Linked DNA regions of Arabidopsis thaliana. Each later gene encodes a partner of the first gene's protein in a complex. Each region holds a gene or a part of one and is shown on either strand. Other genes may lie near its edges. The genes, in order: AT4G22720, AT5G26110 and AT5G53045. A codon is read from its position in the direction of its gene.

Region 1 (5,806 bases):
CTTTGCATTGGTTTATGATTTAGACAGACTTTAAAACATTTTTAGTATATTTCTTCTATATCACAAATTCTATATAAAACAAAAATATGCTTTTTGGATAACCATTTTAGAAACAAACAGAACTCGGGCAAATCGCAAAATCATTTAGCTATTTGATCATAACTTAAGTTTACGAATAAAATCCATAGAACTTAATATCTATGTGTGGTGGTTATTATAAATGGTAAAATGGGTAAAAGTGTAGAGCGGCTTTAATGTGAGAAAACGATCTAACGAGTGAAGTTTATTTAAGTTCATGTTTGGCGATTGAGCACTTTGGCTTATAGTTCATAACTTTTGGAATCATTTCGAAACTTGGATCATCCTCTTCTTCTTTGTCAACACTCCACCTTCCCATTCCCTGCATGTGCCACGTGCACGTGTCTACTCCTGCATACACATACACATACACATATTCATATTTAGTCTCTTAAAACAAGTCTTTGGATGAGAATAGTACTGATTAAAGAATGTTTTTTTTAGATCCATATTTCTAATAGTGGTCTAATATGATTAGTTGATTATATATACTATAAAATATAGTATACTATAAAATATAGTATATATGGTCTAAATATAGTATTTAGTTAATGATGATATCGAGATTTAGAGGACAATTATTCCACTAACTCTCTTTTCTTTTCCTCTAATTATTTGTAGGCTATAAAGTAAATTGATAAAAGATTAGTTATAGAAATGCTATTTGTTGGTACATGTATTCTAACCTAATTGGGTTTAAGAACAAGACAGTTTGACTATAAGCAGAATCCAATGTGGACTGAAACATTCATCTTAATTAGATATTCTTAGATATACTCTTTGATTATATACAAACTTTTATCATATGTCCTATTATACTGATGAATCTTACTATGTGGACAAAACTTAATTCACACAATGAATAAAATTGGTGAAAATGATAACAAAAAACAAATTAGTGAAGTAATTAAGCACGTTAAAACTAAAAAACGAGACTAGTAGATTTGACGACGACGATCGAGTTCAATGTGAAAGCATAAAACCTTATCAACGGCTATAATTCAGATCTTGATTACTTCAAGGTTTTTTAGATGTATACAATAGTTTTAACAAAAAAAAAGATGTATACAATAGCAATCAGACAACTTTGATTTATCTTCAATCATTCGTCTTTTATTTTTTGGCATTTCAAGATGGAAGGAAGACTTTTGAAATACTTTTATCTTTTCGTTAACTACTTTGACCTTTTACTTGATTGTTTTACTAATAACTTTTGTCATTTTCTCCTTTTTCCCACGTCTTTTTGAATCTATATGATGTCTTTTAAAACTTTTGAAAATTTTATATTTAGTATGCATGCTTACTTACATAGTTACATGTATGAATGTTTTATCTAGAACTCTAGTCTCTAGAAGGATATCCACATTATGCTACAAAAGTAATATAAATATCGACCAAAATTTGTGTAGCCTATGTGTCAAGGTTCTGATTTACACTTGAAAATACGCAAATGAGTTCTAGATGATGGAAAAATGATACACTATATCTCGAATGTTTTTACAAAATTATTAGATAGAATTTATCTCTACGTCAAATTGAAATTTTTGACAACTTGTTGTTGCCTTTACAATTTTTATTAGCAAGATCAAGATTAGATCATTATGTATAAATTCTATTTACTCACTTTTCGTTTAATACGCAATGCCATAGAAGTGTCTTGTGATTAATTGAACCATCTCATACGTTCTACATTAAAAAGTTCTTACTTTTTACTTTTTAGTAGTGCTGTATTTTCACAGTTGTTTTTGTATGATTAAGGAAGACTAATGCACTAATCTCTCCACCATTCTCGGTAGAAATGTCGACTTTGAGATATCATATTTTTATTAAAGCAATAAAACAAATAGCGAAATGCAACACAAGAAACATTTGAACTTTTTACAAAGCTCACTTTGAAATTTGAAAGTGTTATTACATTCAAACCAAAAGATATCAATCATATAATTTGGCTAATAAAACACATTTAAAAGTCTTAACTACTTAGCAAAAACCAATTTATCGAGTAGAGAGAGATTCAATCTCAAATTTGATGAAAAATGAACAAAAATGGGGACAGACTCAATTCGCTGCAACTTTCTTATCCCCAAGTAGTACAGCTTCTTTCTCTCGCCACACCGCATGAACCTCGTCTGTGCGAAATCGTTGTGTAAAGGTAGAGTCTTCGATCGGTGTTTCAATACCATTAACAAACGCGAGTAGACCTGTGTAAGCGATCATAGCTCCATTATCGATGCAGTAACGGTCATCTGTTGCAAACAGCTTACCATCACGTTCTGAGCACATAGTCCTCATCATTTCCTGCAAACGCTCGTTACACCCAACACCGCCAACTATCAAAACGTCTTTCTTGTCACAATGCGCCATCGCTCTTTCTGTGATCTCAACCAACATCGCAAACACCGTCTCCTGCAAGATCAACAAACATGAATTCATGATATTACTCTTAAACAGTCCAAAATTTGCATTCATGTGACAAAATTCATCAGTTAAGAACCAAGTGATAGCCTTACTTGAAGGGAATAACACAAGTCTGCTGGTGTACACTCGTTATTCTTGAGCTTCTCCTCTGCAGTAGTTTCGATATAACTCAAGATTCCGCTGAACGATACATCCATACCTTTAACAGCATACGGAAGATCAATAAAGTTTTCTCCTTTCTTAGCAAGCTAGTAACAACACCAAAAACCGTGTTAACATTGTTCTTGAATCTTTCAAGAATTCAAATTTACTTTACTTTCAAATGAAATCTACCTGTTCAATGTTATAACCAGGGCTTGGATCATTAGAAAGCTTCAAGACTCTAGCAAACCGATCCAAACAATTACCAACAGCAATATCAATAGTCTCACCAAAAATCCGGTACCTACCTTCACTATAAGCAATCACCTGAGTGTTACCACCACTCACATACAACACAACAGGATCATCAGCTCCAGTAACTACTCTCCCCATCTCAATGTGAGCCACACAATGATTCACAGCAACAATTGGCTTTTTCCAAAGCTGTGACAATACTCTAACAACAATGGCTGAAACCTGCAACGGCGCTCCCATCCCGGGACCTTTCGTATAACAAATACAGTCGATTTCTTCAGGAGTAACTTGAGAAGTCTCTAAAGCTGATTTGACTAAAGGAAGAACATGGTCAAGATGGTGATGTGCAGTCTCTCTAGGAAGAAAACCATGACCAGGTGGTGTTATATACGTATGCCGAGGATTTGCTAAGATAGTACCGTCTAAAGTCACAATTCCAACTCCAATCTTGTTAGCTGATCCTTCGAAACCAATGGCTATCATCTTCTTCTTCATTTCTTTGATTTAAAAACAGAAACTTTCTACACAGAGAACAACAAATTCAGGACTAGGTGAAGTAAAAATCCAAACTTTATTCTGAATCAATTTGAACTAACACAAATTATAGCCTTAGACGTTGAAGATGATGAACAAAATTAATCCTTTCGTTGATTGGTATTGGTATTGAGAGAGACCCAACAAAGAGATTCGTATAACCTAGGTTTCGTTTCCTTAGATGAAAGAGCCCTAAACCCTAATCTAAACACAGAAACCAATTCCATTCGAGACACAACACACTGAACCCATGTACTGTTGTTTGATTTAAATCAAAAACTAACCTGAAGCTGCGTGATGGCCGGAATCAGAAGTAGCTCACAAGCTCAAAGCAAAACGAAATTAGCCAGAGAGTTTAAAGAAGAAAAAGACGGCGATAAAGTCGCCGGGAGAGAAACGACGATGTTGAGTTTCTAGACTGTGTAAACGGCGTCGTTTATAAATGGGCCTAGCCCAATAACGCATATTTTGCCGCTAAGAAGGACTCATTTAGTGTGACGTGAAGTATTTGTGATATAATTATACATTAATTAATTTAAATAATTACAATTTTAATTTGTAACCTTCATACTAATTTGTAATTTGTTGACCCAAGAATTTTAATCGACTTGCCAAAAATATAACTACAATATAGTTTTATAGCTTTGGCATCGACTATTAGGCGTTATTATTGTAAGTAAAACTTTGTTATATTAAATGTTATCAAAAATGTAACTTGACACATCTTTTATACAAAGCATCAAAACTCCAGACACAGATAAAGAAAAGTAAACTTTAAACAAGAAAACTCAATTCAACATCCTTCTTACTTAAGCTGTGTAGAGTTTTGGATCGGACAACCTTGGAACAGGAATAGCCACAAGTGGAGACTTCAACTTAAGAACAAGACCAAACTTCTCTTCAACCTCAAACTTCTGTCCTTGAGGAGCTTTCCAATCAAAAGAGTGAAGAAGTGAAGCAATGTTGAACAGAACAAGTCTCTCAGCCATGTTTATCGCCGCACAAATCCTCCTTCCTGACCCAAAAGGCAAATACTTAAAATCACCTCCATTGAAATCAAGCGAATTCTCCAAAAACCTCTCAGGTTTGAACTCGTTTGGTTCATCCCAATTCTTAGGATCTCTATGAATCGCCCAAACGTTGATGAAAATCTTGGAGTCTTTAGGCACAGTGTATCCCGCAACCACCGAGGTTTCGCTGTTTCTGTGAGGAACAAGAAGAGGAAGCGTAGGGTGAAGCCTAAGAGTCTCTTTCATAACCGCTTGTAGGTAAGGAAGCTTAGGTAAATGTGATTCCTCAACGATGTTGTCTTTGCCAACAACTTGGTCAAGTTCTAGTCGGATCTTGTTTAACACTTCCGGTCTGCTCACAATCTCTGCCATGGCGAATTCGGATGCGTTAACCGATGTGTCGACACCACCAAGAACCATATCCATGAGGAGAGACTTGACATGAGTCATGGACAGAGGAGCTTTCTCATCATCATCTTTAACTCTAAGTAAGTATTGCAAGAAATCTTCTTCTTCTTCGCTCTTCTTTCCCACCATTTTGACGTGACTCTCCATAACTCTATCGAACAAGAGATCAAGCTTCTTCACATGGCCTTTCATCTGCTTAACCAATCCTTGGAAATCGAATCTTGAGAACAACGGAAAGAAATCTGAGTAGTTTTGAATCCCTTCTATGTCGGAGATATCAGATATTAGGGTTTTGAGCTCGTTTCCTAAGCTCGTTCTCTCGTCTCCTTCAACAGTGGCGCCCCACATCATTCTTGTCACGACGTTGAAAATGGAAAGAAATATTTGCTCTCCGAGGTTGACTGGTGATCCTTCACGAGCCATTTCCGACATGTGGACAATGGTTTGTCGGGTTTCTTCCCGGCGAGTGGAGTAGGAAGCTTCGAGACTTGGGGTAGTGAACATCTTCATGACGCAGAGCTTACGAAGTCTCCTCCAATGGGTACCGTAAGGAGACCAGAGGATGTCTTCACCACCGTAAGTGTTGATCTTTCCGACTTCAGGGAGATCGTGGTTGGCGAAAGTGATGTCGTGGGTTTTGAGAACCTCGCGAGCCATGTCAGGGGAAGAGACGACGATCGCAAGTTTGGAACCGAGGTGGATCTTCATGAGAGGGCCATATTTTAGGGTTAGGGCTTGGAATTGCGTGTGGAGGACGTCAGAGTTTAGGAACGGGAGGTTTCCGACGATAGGAAGTGGCCAAGGTCCCGGAGGCAGTGGAGGTTCCTTTTTGGACTTGGACTTCCCCTGAATCCATAAGTAGCATACAACGGCCAAGAGAGCAGCGACGGCCAGCATCACGGAGCTGTACGGCTCCTCAGTGTTGAGGACCTGCGAGAGGTTGATGTTAGACTTAGACGACG
Region 2 (5,751 bases), on another chromosome or scaffold:
CTTTGGAGAACAATCAGTAAATCTAAAGGTAGCAGTGACAGGATTGATGGCAAAATTTTATGGATCCAAAAAGAAAGTACTTACATCTGCCAGTGTGATGGATGAGAACTCTTTTTCAAACCCAAATATGGTAAAACATATGAAGAATCAATCATACAAGAGTTAGGGCTTAGTATTGTTCTGAATCTTGAAAACGTTGCTAAGTTGTTTTCTCTGTTCTTTTCTGTAGATTGTGCCACAAGAAAGTTTGCTGGAGATGACTGAGCAGGAAGACCTTATGTTTGTTCTCCCGCCGCACTCGTTCTCTTCCTTCGATTTGTTGACAGAATCTGAAAATGTCATCAAGATGCCAATATCTGATTCATACAAGAAAACTTCAACAATGTGAAGAGAAACATCATCTTGGAGACTTTCATGTCTTTTGTCTTTACTCTTCAGTGGTTATTAAACACATAAACCTATATGTTCGTGAATAATACCAAAGTTAGTTGATTATAATCACGTTATGCCCTTAGATTACTTGATATGCAAGATTACTCTTCCTTGGTAAAAAAAAAACAATGGTAACACATTAGACCCTAAACAGTTCAGTCAAAGGAACTTACATTGTGTCGTCAAAATGCAGCTAAAAATAGCCCAAAGTTTAATTCTTTATTGTTTAAAATCCTTATCTAACAAACATTGCTTCTCACAGTTTCTTGTTTTTTTCTTTTCTTCAAACTATAATTAGAAAGACATCGAGAACATATCTTAATACTTGAGAAACTAAAATCCCCTAAATTCCAGCAATTTATCTGTCCTTTCAAAGCAATTTTAAGATTAAGAGAACCATAAAATTAAATTCCATTACTCTCACACAATTTTTGATTATATTATAACATTTTGTATGTTGGAGCAAGATGGCTCCCTTCATCGCCTTATTCACCGGCCTTTGTGGCTTCAAGAAAAACGCTCGGCCATTGGGAACGATTGAGACGATGTATCAGTCATCTCCTCGGGAGACCAAAGAAAGAGAACAAACAAATAATGACTTGCAGATCACGAAAAGTGATGACTTGTGGAACAAGGAAAGCGATGATCGAGATACTAATGCATTTAATGACGATAGTAATGAAGCGGACTCTGAGCTTCCGTTGCCTCCAGGAAGAAAAGGAACAATACGTGGAACATATTCGTGTAACAACATGGTGTTAAGAAGATCCTTGTCTACTAAGAAGAAACTGAGTGCGAGCCTAACGATCCAAATACCGAGATCATTGTCCATGGTCCTCAAACGTGACAAGGAGGAGGATAAATCTGTGAGGAAGAAGAAACTGAACGCAGATAATTCGATTCTGGTACTCCCAATTATACTTGGAGAGAGATGTAGGGTTCTTGATGCGGAAGAAGGAGATGAAGATCAAAGCCAAAGAATGGCAGAGAACAGAATATATCGTCCTAGATCCATGAGTTCGATCTCGATTTCGAGAACCAAGTCGAACATCGATATGAATGCTATTCCCGTAGAAGTAACATCAGAAGAACAAAAAATCTGATATTATGATGTCTAAAATGAACTAGCTTCATGGTGATTAGGGGTTAATTACTTAATTGTTAAATCTCATGAATCTGAGTGACATCATCGTGAAATATTTCGATGGAGAGTGATATCACCAATTTAGTTTGAAGGATCATGATAAAGAAAAGTACTCAATGACTTGGAAGCTTTTTTGAAACAAGTAGAGTTGTAATATAAATACCGGTTCACAAAAATGTAAACGAATTGATTTGGTTTCATATATAGACATATAGCTAAAGTGCATTTGGCTAAAGAATTTCACTATTAGACATTGTTTCAAATCATTAAAATTCACAAGCCAACATATTTGTCTTTTTTTAATACATGTAAAATTTATTCGAAAAAACGTTTTTACATCAAGTGCAACATTTGGTAAATAAATTGCGTACAAATTTCCAAGTTTTCATGGATCTATCTTCTATCTCATTGTTAACGAATAGAGGAGATCCAGTTTCAGACTTGTTTGTCGAGTTATCGAAGCAACTGTACGTGCTGGTGGTATTGGTGTCTCTCCAAATTATTAAACTCTCTAAGATGCATTCATTGTAATTTTTATTTTTTTTCTGATGAAGATAATTTTATATTCATCCAAAAAAAACTATCTAATTTGGGTAAAAATTGAGAATGACTTAAGGATTATTTAGAAAATAACTCAAAATGTATCAAATAGGGTTTTGGAAATTTTCCAAACCGAACGAACTAATCATAAACAATGCTGTTTCTGTTTTTCAATTCAAATTTGGATAAACCAAACAAAAACCGGTTCATGTTCTTATAATTTCGGTTTTTGATTCCGGTATGCACCTAGATAACCGGAATCAAATTAAAATTAAAAACCCTAGTTCCGACCTCGTCTTCATTGTTCACAAACGAGTCGCCGACGACAAACTCAGGCGAAAATTTCGCAGCTTCTCTTCCTCCGGCGGTGAAACACAGGTGAGCCGCGAGCCTTTCCGAAAGAGAAGCTTCTCTCTTTCCAACGAAAACAGGCGCCGCGAATATCTCTCTCTTCGTCTCATTCTCCGGCGAACACATACGAGCTCCTCTCCGTCACCACTCAGCTTGCAGGTTCAATTCGACGATAATCTTATGCAATTTAGAATTTTTGACCAACTTGGCAAGCTTGTTGTGTTAAATGATGAAAGGCAGATTTTTTGGTCAATGGTTGTTGATAACTGAAGTAGAGATCTTTAGTTGGAATAGACTTAAGCTAGAAGCGATTATTGTGTGGCCTTATTGCTAGAGCTTCAAAAACAATTGCTAAAGTCTCATTCTTTATGTTGGTTTTGTGTAGAATCCTGAGAAATTTAGAATGGATTGTGAGGAAAACGTTAGGGATGAATCACTCGTTTTGATTAAACAAGGAGCAGAAGCTGTAAGTGTCTCTGTGCGAATCTGTGTATATGTTTTTCTGTCAAGATTAAGTCTTTTCAGTTTTATCTATAGAGGGTGTTCGAGTCTACATTTGCTGGAAGAAGATCCATCGTGAAAGAACGTTTCTCGAAGAAATATAGACATCCGATTTTGGATGCAAAACTCACACTTAAACGCTTGAATGCGGTTGGTTTACTCCGCCTTTTTCTTGTTTCGTTGATGAAGTCATGAGAAAGAGAAGTAAAAATCGAGTATTTCATCTTATATGTGCTTATTTGTTGAATATAGGAAGCTAGGTGTATGACAAAGGCAAGAAAGCTCGGGGTTTGTACTCCAGTCCTATATGCTGTGGATACTCTGCTTCACTCTTTAACACTTGAGTACATTGAGGGGGTCTCTGTTAAGGATATTTTCCTTGAGTTTGGGACCAATGGGGTTGTTGAGGAACGTTTAGATGATGTTGCTGCTCAGATTGGGGCTGCAATTGCTAAGCTCCATGATGGTGGCTTGGCTCATGGTGATTTGACCACATCAAATATGTTAGTCAGAAGTGGAACAAATCAGCTGGTAAGTATCTTCAGAGGTTGTGATAAAGTTCTCTTGATTAGTTACTTATGATTCATGACCATGGATATGTCTTCCCTCAGGTACTAATTGATTTTGGCTTGAGCGTCACATCGACCTTGCCTGAAGACAAAGCTGTTGATTTATATGTACTTGAAAGAGCCTTACTCTCAATGCATTCGTCATGCGGGAATGTGGTAAGTGTGATGCAAATCATAACTTCACTACTTTTGCTGGGTCTGTTGTTGTTGTTGTTGTTGTTGTCTCACTGCGTATTTTGTTGTCAATTGTAGATGGATCGTATACTGACGGCGTATAGGAAGTCCTCAAAGCAATGGTCAGCCACGTTTAACAAGCTCGCACAAGGTTCTATCACACTCCTCTTCCACCTCCTCTTTTAAAACCAACTCTTCTTCAAACCTTTAGAAAGTCTTCTTTTGGTATATGCAGTGAGACAGCGAGGGAGAAAGCGGACTATGATTGGATGAGGCGATGAGCCAAGTTCTCCAGTGGTACTGTCCTTAAAACTTTGACCACAAAGCCACCCAAAATCTGTCCTGTATTATTATTCGATAGCGATCCAATTTGTCGATCAGTATTAAGGTATCAATGCTGAGATGTGTGATCGATTTTTTCAACCAGAAAACGATTATAGAACATATGTCAAGCAGGGCATTCTCATATAAGTACTTAAGAAAGCAACATTATTGATTACGGTTAGAAAGTTACTATATTTATCGATTATGTCAACGAACATATGACAAATAAAGAATGTTACAACACCATTATTACAAAACGTTTAACTACCTTTTATTTGAGCATATAACGGCTTCGTTCTCTAACCATTAACTTTTCATATATAACAAGAAAAAATAGATAAAACCTAAAAGTAATTTCAAAAAGAGTTAAATGGAAAACAAGTTGGTTCTTGGAGCCTTGTGTATATACCTTGTGTTACAAGGCACCTGCGGCGAGGAGAACAACCCTCTGATTAACCATTACGCTGATTACGAAACGATTCATCCTAGCGAATACTACAGCTCCGATTTCGAACTCAAAGACGGAACCAATGTGATCTTCGAAGCCATCAATGAATTGAAAGGGATCAAGAAACCAAAAGCAGGCTTTATGTGCAACTATGGCAAAAAACAATGGACAAGGTCTCTTCCGGGAGACATTTTCTACGCCAAGTTCTTCTTTTACAGCATTAATCCAAACGCAAAGGTCGTTCAACATTGCCATTTCCGGTCAAATTTGGGTTATGTTGATGCCTATATCAAGATAACCCCAGCGCTCGGACGAACATGTCCCGGTTACAGATGCGTTTTAGCGGTTAGACGTGAAGGTCTCTTGATGAAAGACACTAACGAACTCTTTCCTTGGACACCTTGGCCTCGCCGCCACATTCAACCTAAGTTGCCTAAGATCACCAATTGATTCCTCTGAATGATATTTTATGGGATTGGGTGTATACATATCTCTTCATCATTTTTTTTTTGTGATATATATACAGACATTGTTTAGTTCAGAAAACATCAATCAGAATTCAAAAGTTACTAGTGAAATGGGTTTTCTCCCCTAATATACAGATCCTATTTTCATTACGCCAATTGTTGAATTACTAGTAAATTCTGGAAACATATGTGTGTGCTGGTTTTATATCTTTGTACGATGTGAGAGTGTTATGATTTGTATGTGCATAAAATAAAGGAGACACAGAGATTTGTTAACGGGGTTCGGTTAACTACTTACATCCCCGGGACCTTGTCCAGAACTCATCCACTAGAAAAGGCTGCAACCTACAATTGCTATATGGCATCCACCACTCTTTTCTAGAATTACAATGAAAGAAAACTACTACTCCTATTGTCTTTTCCCCGACGAGTATAGCATTCTCAACAAACCATCAAAAGATCTCTCTATCTTGTTGATGGGGCAACGTCACACACATGTGTGCCTCTTTCGATAAACCCTAGACGCGCGCAAGTCTTCATGTTGATGTCTCTTGGTTTATATATCAAGTGCCAAAAGTCCTAGACGACTTAAGCCACGCTTCAAATCTCTACAAACAATTGGGATTAACTTGAATAAAGGCCCATGACCCACATGACCTTTATACTTCTACGTTATGTAACAACTCAACATCATTGTATGGTCCAACAGCTCGAATGTTGTTCCAGCAATATCTGCACTTACAAATTCATGTTTCATACACTTTAGTTTTCATAAGGCTGATTTTATTTTTTGGTATGAAT
Region 3 (4,724 bases), on another chromosome or scaffold:
CTGTCCAGATGAAACTTGTGAGTGATTATGTTCTCATGCTGTTTATATATGCAGGATTACCTAGAAGAATCTGTAGGAACTAATACAAGACGGGCAATTTTATATCAGGTGGGTTTACTGGTTATTATGCGAAGAAAATGACATATAAGCATATCACTAGTGAACGATTTAAGGTGACTTATATTTGAGTGATGCAATACAGCAATATGTAAAAGGAATATCAGAAACTGGAATGCAGTCCAAGTACGGGTTTGATGGCCAAATTAACGCTTGTTGGTTACACAAAATCACAAAAGTAGAGATTGAACTAATCCGCTCGGCTGGATTTCTTGTCTCAGTCATTCATGGAAGGTACGGAACACCAAAGAAATTAGAATCAAAGTCACCTTGTGCACTCAGTCTTGAGTTTGTTGATCTTGTAAAGCATCTTTACCTTTACACAGTAGTTAATGTGAGAATGTGTTGGGTTATATGCAGACATGATGTGATTGCTCAGATATGTTACGCAAGAAGACTGGCACAGAGGCTATATCCAGTCGCTAGAATGGTGGATCTTCATGGAGGTCATCTTGTAAGCCACGAGAGAACAGAAGAGGTACTTCTGTCTTATTTAGCTAGGTCTTAACTTCTCTGTCTCTCTTGCGTCTGATGAATGTAAGACTTAATAACTAAAGTCTTTGTCGCTCTTTAATCTCATCCAACCTGCAGTAAATGTTAATGAATGTCATACTCAGATTACTGTAACTTAACAGGAACAATATAAGACCGAAAGAGAATCAGACTATTCTGAAAATAAGAATAAGTTGACTATGAATATGATGAACTGATTTAATCGTATATGGAGAAACGTTTTAAAGGCAAACCTATTTGGAAAAACACTTGACTGCTGTAGCAACTGATCGAACATTGTAAGCGATTATACCGTTACTTATATCTCATTTTTACTTATGATAGAAGAAAACTATAAAGACTTACAGGCTTTGAAGTCTTTAAGGAACAACATTGCTACAATGTGGAAGAGGGATCACATTTTCCTTACTCATGTTGGTATTCTCAGAACCTCGAATAACATACCTTCTGGTCAATCAATTTCAGGTTAATAAAGCTCTGCTCGAGTTAATCAAGGCGTCAGAAATGAAGAAAATATCAACTGATTGGACTAACCTCACCATGGAAACACCTGGTATAGAAATACCCAATTTCCATTCTTTTAGACCATTCTTCTTCTTTGAAGATCGTTCTGAGACTAACATCAACATTCCGTTATTTGCTTGCTCTTCGAATTATTAGGTTATTTCAAGAGGAGACTAACATTGATTAGAAGCTCAACGGAAGGCAAGAATGTCGCCTCTCCTGCACATTTCATAGCGGAAAAGTTCCATGGCTTTCTACTTTTCCTCTTCGGGCTTCTGGTTTTGGCATTTGAGTATTCAAGAAGAGCTTTCAGGGCTGTAAACCCCGTCAAAGTTGGACCTTCTCTAACATAACAACAACCCTTCACATATCAATTTGTCGACCAAGTAAGCTCCTCACTGCTTAATTATATCAAAGATAGAACATTAACAACTAGATCTATCACAATCTGACGTCGTTCGACAGATATTTTCATACAAGCAATGAGCCAGTTCTTCAATGATCAAGCTGATGAGACATAAGGGCTTAAAGATATTATTGCTGCAAATAGAGGCTAAGAGAAGGAGACAGTGCTTTTACATGGATAGGTGATACAAACTGTTGATATATACACGTGTAGAGGATCATTACAACGTCACACTCCATGTCAAACATTTGTTCTACGAACATAATATGTAAAGATAAGACATCGAAATCTCAAATATAGACTCGTATGTTTTTGTGTACCTATGGAACATATATAACTGTTTTGTCTAGCCTAAAATCAAGAATTACAAGTCATATACAACTTGGAAAACAAACATTCCAGATTCCATGAATCTTTCAACATGTTTTTAATGTATCAAAGACATTCATGAAGGATAGCTTCTAGTTACGAAACAATATTTATTACAAGATCATGAACAAGCGAGCTAATTCAGAAACAAACACAGAATTATAAGAAAGAGATGAGAAGAGGACATGCCTGGAGCCTGGTACAGTGGTACTGCTTCTGTCTGAAACCACAGCTTAAAGCTTTTCTTTGGGTGAATGTCTGAATGATGTTATGTAGCTGAATTGTTTAATCTTCAGAATTAGAGATAGAGAAGAGATAGCGAAATGAGTAGACGAGATTCTAGTTTAGGCTCAAAGTAATATTCCTTCATGCAAGATATACTCTCCGAATATACCCTTCTCATACCTTTGTTTCCGGAAAAGGACATTCTCGTCAATTCGTCTCGCTATGAAAAGTCTTGGCCCTTGGGCTTCAAAAAATGAGGCCCGTTTTGTAGCCCACTCAAATTCTGCTTCTCTGCTTAAGGTTTTCCCCAAAACCTCCATTGACGCAGGAAGGAAGGAAGGAGCAAATATGGCTGCCACTGTTCCTGCAACTACTCGTTCTGATCAAACATGGGATTTTAGTTGGTATGTTCTGTAAATTCTCTTACTTTGCTTCTCTGATTTGGGAAAATTTCGATTCTTCTCTCTAATGATTCAGCTCTTTGTTTCAATTGTTCGTAACGTGTTTGTTCTGAATCTGAAATTAGAACATACGGATTCGATAATAAAAATCTTGGGTCTGATACATTTGAAGGAATAGACTCGAAAGTCTCGATCTTTGCCCACATAAACCAGGAATACGACCTAGTTAGTTCCATTGCTCAGCTCAATTAGGTTAATTTGAACTTCTAAGCATCCTTTGTAGTGCTTGGCTTAGTGTTGGACAACGATATTGAGGATTACACTGTTATAGACTTTAATAAATTTGGTATCTTTTCAATGAGAGTTGTTAGAGATTGATGTAACAGAGCTTTTGGTAATGTGCAGTAATTTGGATGTGAGTTTTGAATCAGAAGAACATGCTTTGATTGCTTATACATCATTGGCTGTTGATAAAGAGGTTTGAAATTTCTCAATTCACTTCCAACATATGAATACAATCTAATTTCCAACAAGCTTTTCACTGATGTTAGAGTTTCTTCTGTTGTGAACATTAATGCAGTTGCAGCCTGATAAGGTGAGAAGAGTTATGTCAGTATCAAACAACAAGCTTTCTGTGTGAGTTTCTTCAAGTCCTTCTTCGTCGTTGAATCACTTATCGATTTGAAACTGGCTTTAGTTAGACATCTCTTGTCCATAGAACCTTTTAGCTTACTTCTTACACTAGTTTTGATCTTTTCTCACTGGATAATTTTACAGGCACTTTGAAGCAATAGAGGCAAGGCTGCTTCGCGCTTCGTTCTCTGCATTTGTAGACGTTCTTACACTGGCCACAAGAACAATTCAAGAATTTGGTCAAAAGTAAAACACCAATATGAAGAGAAAAAAGCTTGATTCTTTCTCATTACTCTTCAAGAACTCAAAATTACATTGTGTTTTGGTGTTTCTTCTTCGAGCTCAAATCATCTTGGGGTTTTCACAGATTTATTCAAACAATGTACTCCCAAGATTATTATTGGGAGTATTATTATGTAGTGCGAACTCGATTTGAGAAGTGAAAAAAAGATGGTTACATTTAAAGCTTTTGATTTGACTACGTTTTCTTTGTTTCATTTACTAAGTAAATTATCACTTAGTGGAGACTCTCATTATCTCTTAATCATCTTCAACATCAAATGTATCTATCATCGTAACATATAACACGTGCATCATCTAATGCGATAATACACAAAAACTCAATTCATTTAATATCGATTGTGAATTTTTAGCAATATGATCTTATCAACTTTCATGCATTGACTTTGACTAGAGGAAGTAGAAAAAAATAATCGTCATCATCATTAAAGAAGCAACTAACCTACACACAATTCAGCCCCCGTGATCATATATACTTAATTAAAGTCACACGGTAATTAATTAAGATTAACATTTAATGATTTCTAATACGCTTTGGGACTCGTAACTCCCATTACATTGCAATCCCTATGAACATTCATCTTTGTTTTTACAGAGACTATATATGAGTTCGTCAAAACATTCCTCTGTTTTTAACTATTCTGCTCTGTTTCTATCACTGTTTCTTCAACAAATGGATCAGAACTCTCTTCATCATCTCGATTCTCCAAAAATCGAAAACGAGTATGAACCAGATTCGTTATACGACATGTTAGATAAGTAAGTTGGAAACCCTTTGATACTTTTTCTTGCTAAACAAGTTATCTCTCTTTTCTTTACTGTTTTTTCTCATTCGTTTTTGGTCTACAGGTTGCCTCCGCTTGATTCTCTCCTAGATATGGAAGATTTGAAACCAAATGCAGGGTTGCACTTTCAGTTCCATTACAATAGCTTTGAAGATTTCTTCGAAAACATTGAAGTGGATAACACAATTCCATCTGATATTCACTTGTTGACACAAGAGCCCTACTTCTCAAGTGACTCCTCTTCCTCTTCACCATTGGCTATCCAAAACGACGGTCTCATTTCCAACGTGAAAGTTGAAAAGGTAACAGTTAAGAAGAAGAGGAACCTTAAGAAAAAGAGGCAAGACAAATTGGAGATGTCTGAGATCAAACAATTTTTCGATAGGCCGATCATGAAAGCGGCTAAAGAACTGAACGTGGGACTCACTGTGTTGAAGAAGCGATGCAGGGAATTAGGAATTTACCGGTGGC

The links.
Region 2: the proteins of AT4G22720 (region 1) and AT5G26110 are in contact, whole or in part, in a cryo-EM structure (PDB 8K20), measured with the Arabidopsis thaliana proteins. Residues at the interface, in NP_194003.1 of Arabidopsis thaliana: Glu147 (codon at 2,949), Arg149 (codon at 2,943), Arg151 (codon at 2,937), Phe194 (codon at 2,723), Lys202 (codon at 2,699), Gly203 (codon at 2,696), Tyr235 (codon at 2,600), Glu239 (codon at 2,484), Ala243 (codon at 2,472), Val246 (codon at 2,463), Glu247 (codon at 2,460), Glu250 (codon at 2,451), Arg251 (codon at 2,448), Ala254 (codon at 2,439), Arg272 (codon at 2,385), Met280 (codon at 2,361), Glu283 (codon at 2,352), Arg284 (codon at 2,349), Arg329 (codon at 2,214); in NP_001331017.1 of Arabidopsis thaliana: Ala19, Glu20, Lys41, Lys42, Tyr43, His45, Ile47, Leu48, Arg56, Gly158, Leu159, Val161, Asp168, Arg178, Arg218, Gly219, Lys221.
Region 3: the proteins of AT4G22720 (region 1) and AT5G53045 are in contact, whole or in part, in a cryo-EM structure (PDB 8K20), measured with the Arabidopsis thaliana proteins. Residues at the interface, in NP_194003.1 of Arabidopsis thaliana: Arg47 (codon at 3,249), Leu54 (codon at 3,228), Leu58 (codon at 3,216), Gln91 (codon at 3,117), Val92 (codon at 3,114), Ile95 (codon at 3,105), Arg98 (codon at 3,096), Val99 (codon at 3,093), Leu100 (codon at 3,090), Gln102 (codon at 3,084), Leu103 (codon at 3,081), Ile319 (codon at 2,244), Glu320 (codon at 2,241), Asp321 (codon at 2,238), Ser322 (codon at 2,235), Phe324 (codon at 2,229); in NP_850925.1 of Arabidopsis thaliana: Ile33 (codon at 2,981), Thr36 (codon at 2,990), Ser37 (codon at 2,993), Val40 (codon at 3,002), Asp41 (codon at 3,005), Lys42 (codon at 3,008), Ala78 (codon at 3,359), Asp81 (codon at 3,368), Val82 (codon at 3,371), Leu85 (codon at 3,380), Arg88 (codon at 3,389), Thr89 (codon at 3,392), Ile90 (codon at 3,395), Phe93 (codon at 3,404).

Annotation. Positions count from the first base shown.
Region 1 is NC_003075.7:11,935,048-11,940,853, reverse strand, and holds AT4G22720 (Actin-like ATPase superfamily protein), read right to left. Parts: upstream 3,913-5,806; 5' UTR 3,711-3,912; intron 3,414-3,710; 5' UTR 3,388-3,413; coding exon 2,830-3,387; intron 2,745-2,829; coding exon 2,589-2,744; intron 2,485-2,588; coding exon 2,137-2,484; 3' UTR 1,885-2,136; downstream 1-1,884. Other genes in the region: CYP706A2 (cytochrome P450, family 706, subfamily A, polypeptide 2), read right to left, coding at 4,236-5,806.
Region 2 is NC_003076.8:9,116,472-9,122,222, reverse strand, and holds AT5G26110 (Protein kinase superfamily protein), read left to right. Parts: upstream 1-2,381; 5' UTR 2,382-2,626; intron 2,627-2,758; exon of another isoform or gene 2,759-2,852; 5' UTR 2,853-2,870; coding exon 2,871-2,933; intron 2,934-3,004; coding exon 3,005-3,118; intron 3,119-3,220; coding exon 3,221-3,499; intron 3,500-3,579; coding exon 3,580-3,693; intron 3,694-3,789; coding exon 3,790-3,862; intron 3,863-3,946; coding exon 3,947-3,984; 3' UTR 3,985-4,316; downstream 4,317-5,751. Other genes in the region: ASD2 (alpha-L-arabinofuranosidase 2), read left to right, coding at 1-130, 230-388; AT5G26100 (uncharacterized protein), read left to right, coding at 4,406-4,933.
Region 3 is NC_003076.8:21,507,297-21,512,020, reverse strand, and holds AT5G53045 (transcription factor), read left to right. Parts: upstream 1-2,411; 5' UTR 2,412-2,482; coding exon 2,483-2,538; intron 2,539-2,940; coding exon 2,941-3,013; intron 3,014-3,115; coding exon 3,116-3,171; intron 3,172-3,312; coding exon 3,313-3,418; 3' UTR 3,419-3,680; downstream 3,681-4,724. Other genes in the region: AT5G53050 (alpha/beta-Hydrolases superfamily protein), read left to right, coding at 55-108, 203-595, 1,096-1,183, 1,291-1,487; RKD4 (RWP-RK domain-containing protein), read left to right, coding at 4,073-4,227, 4,318-4,724.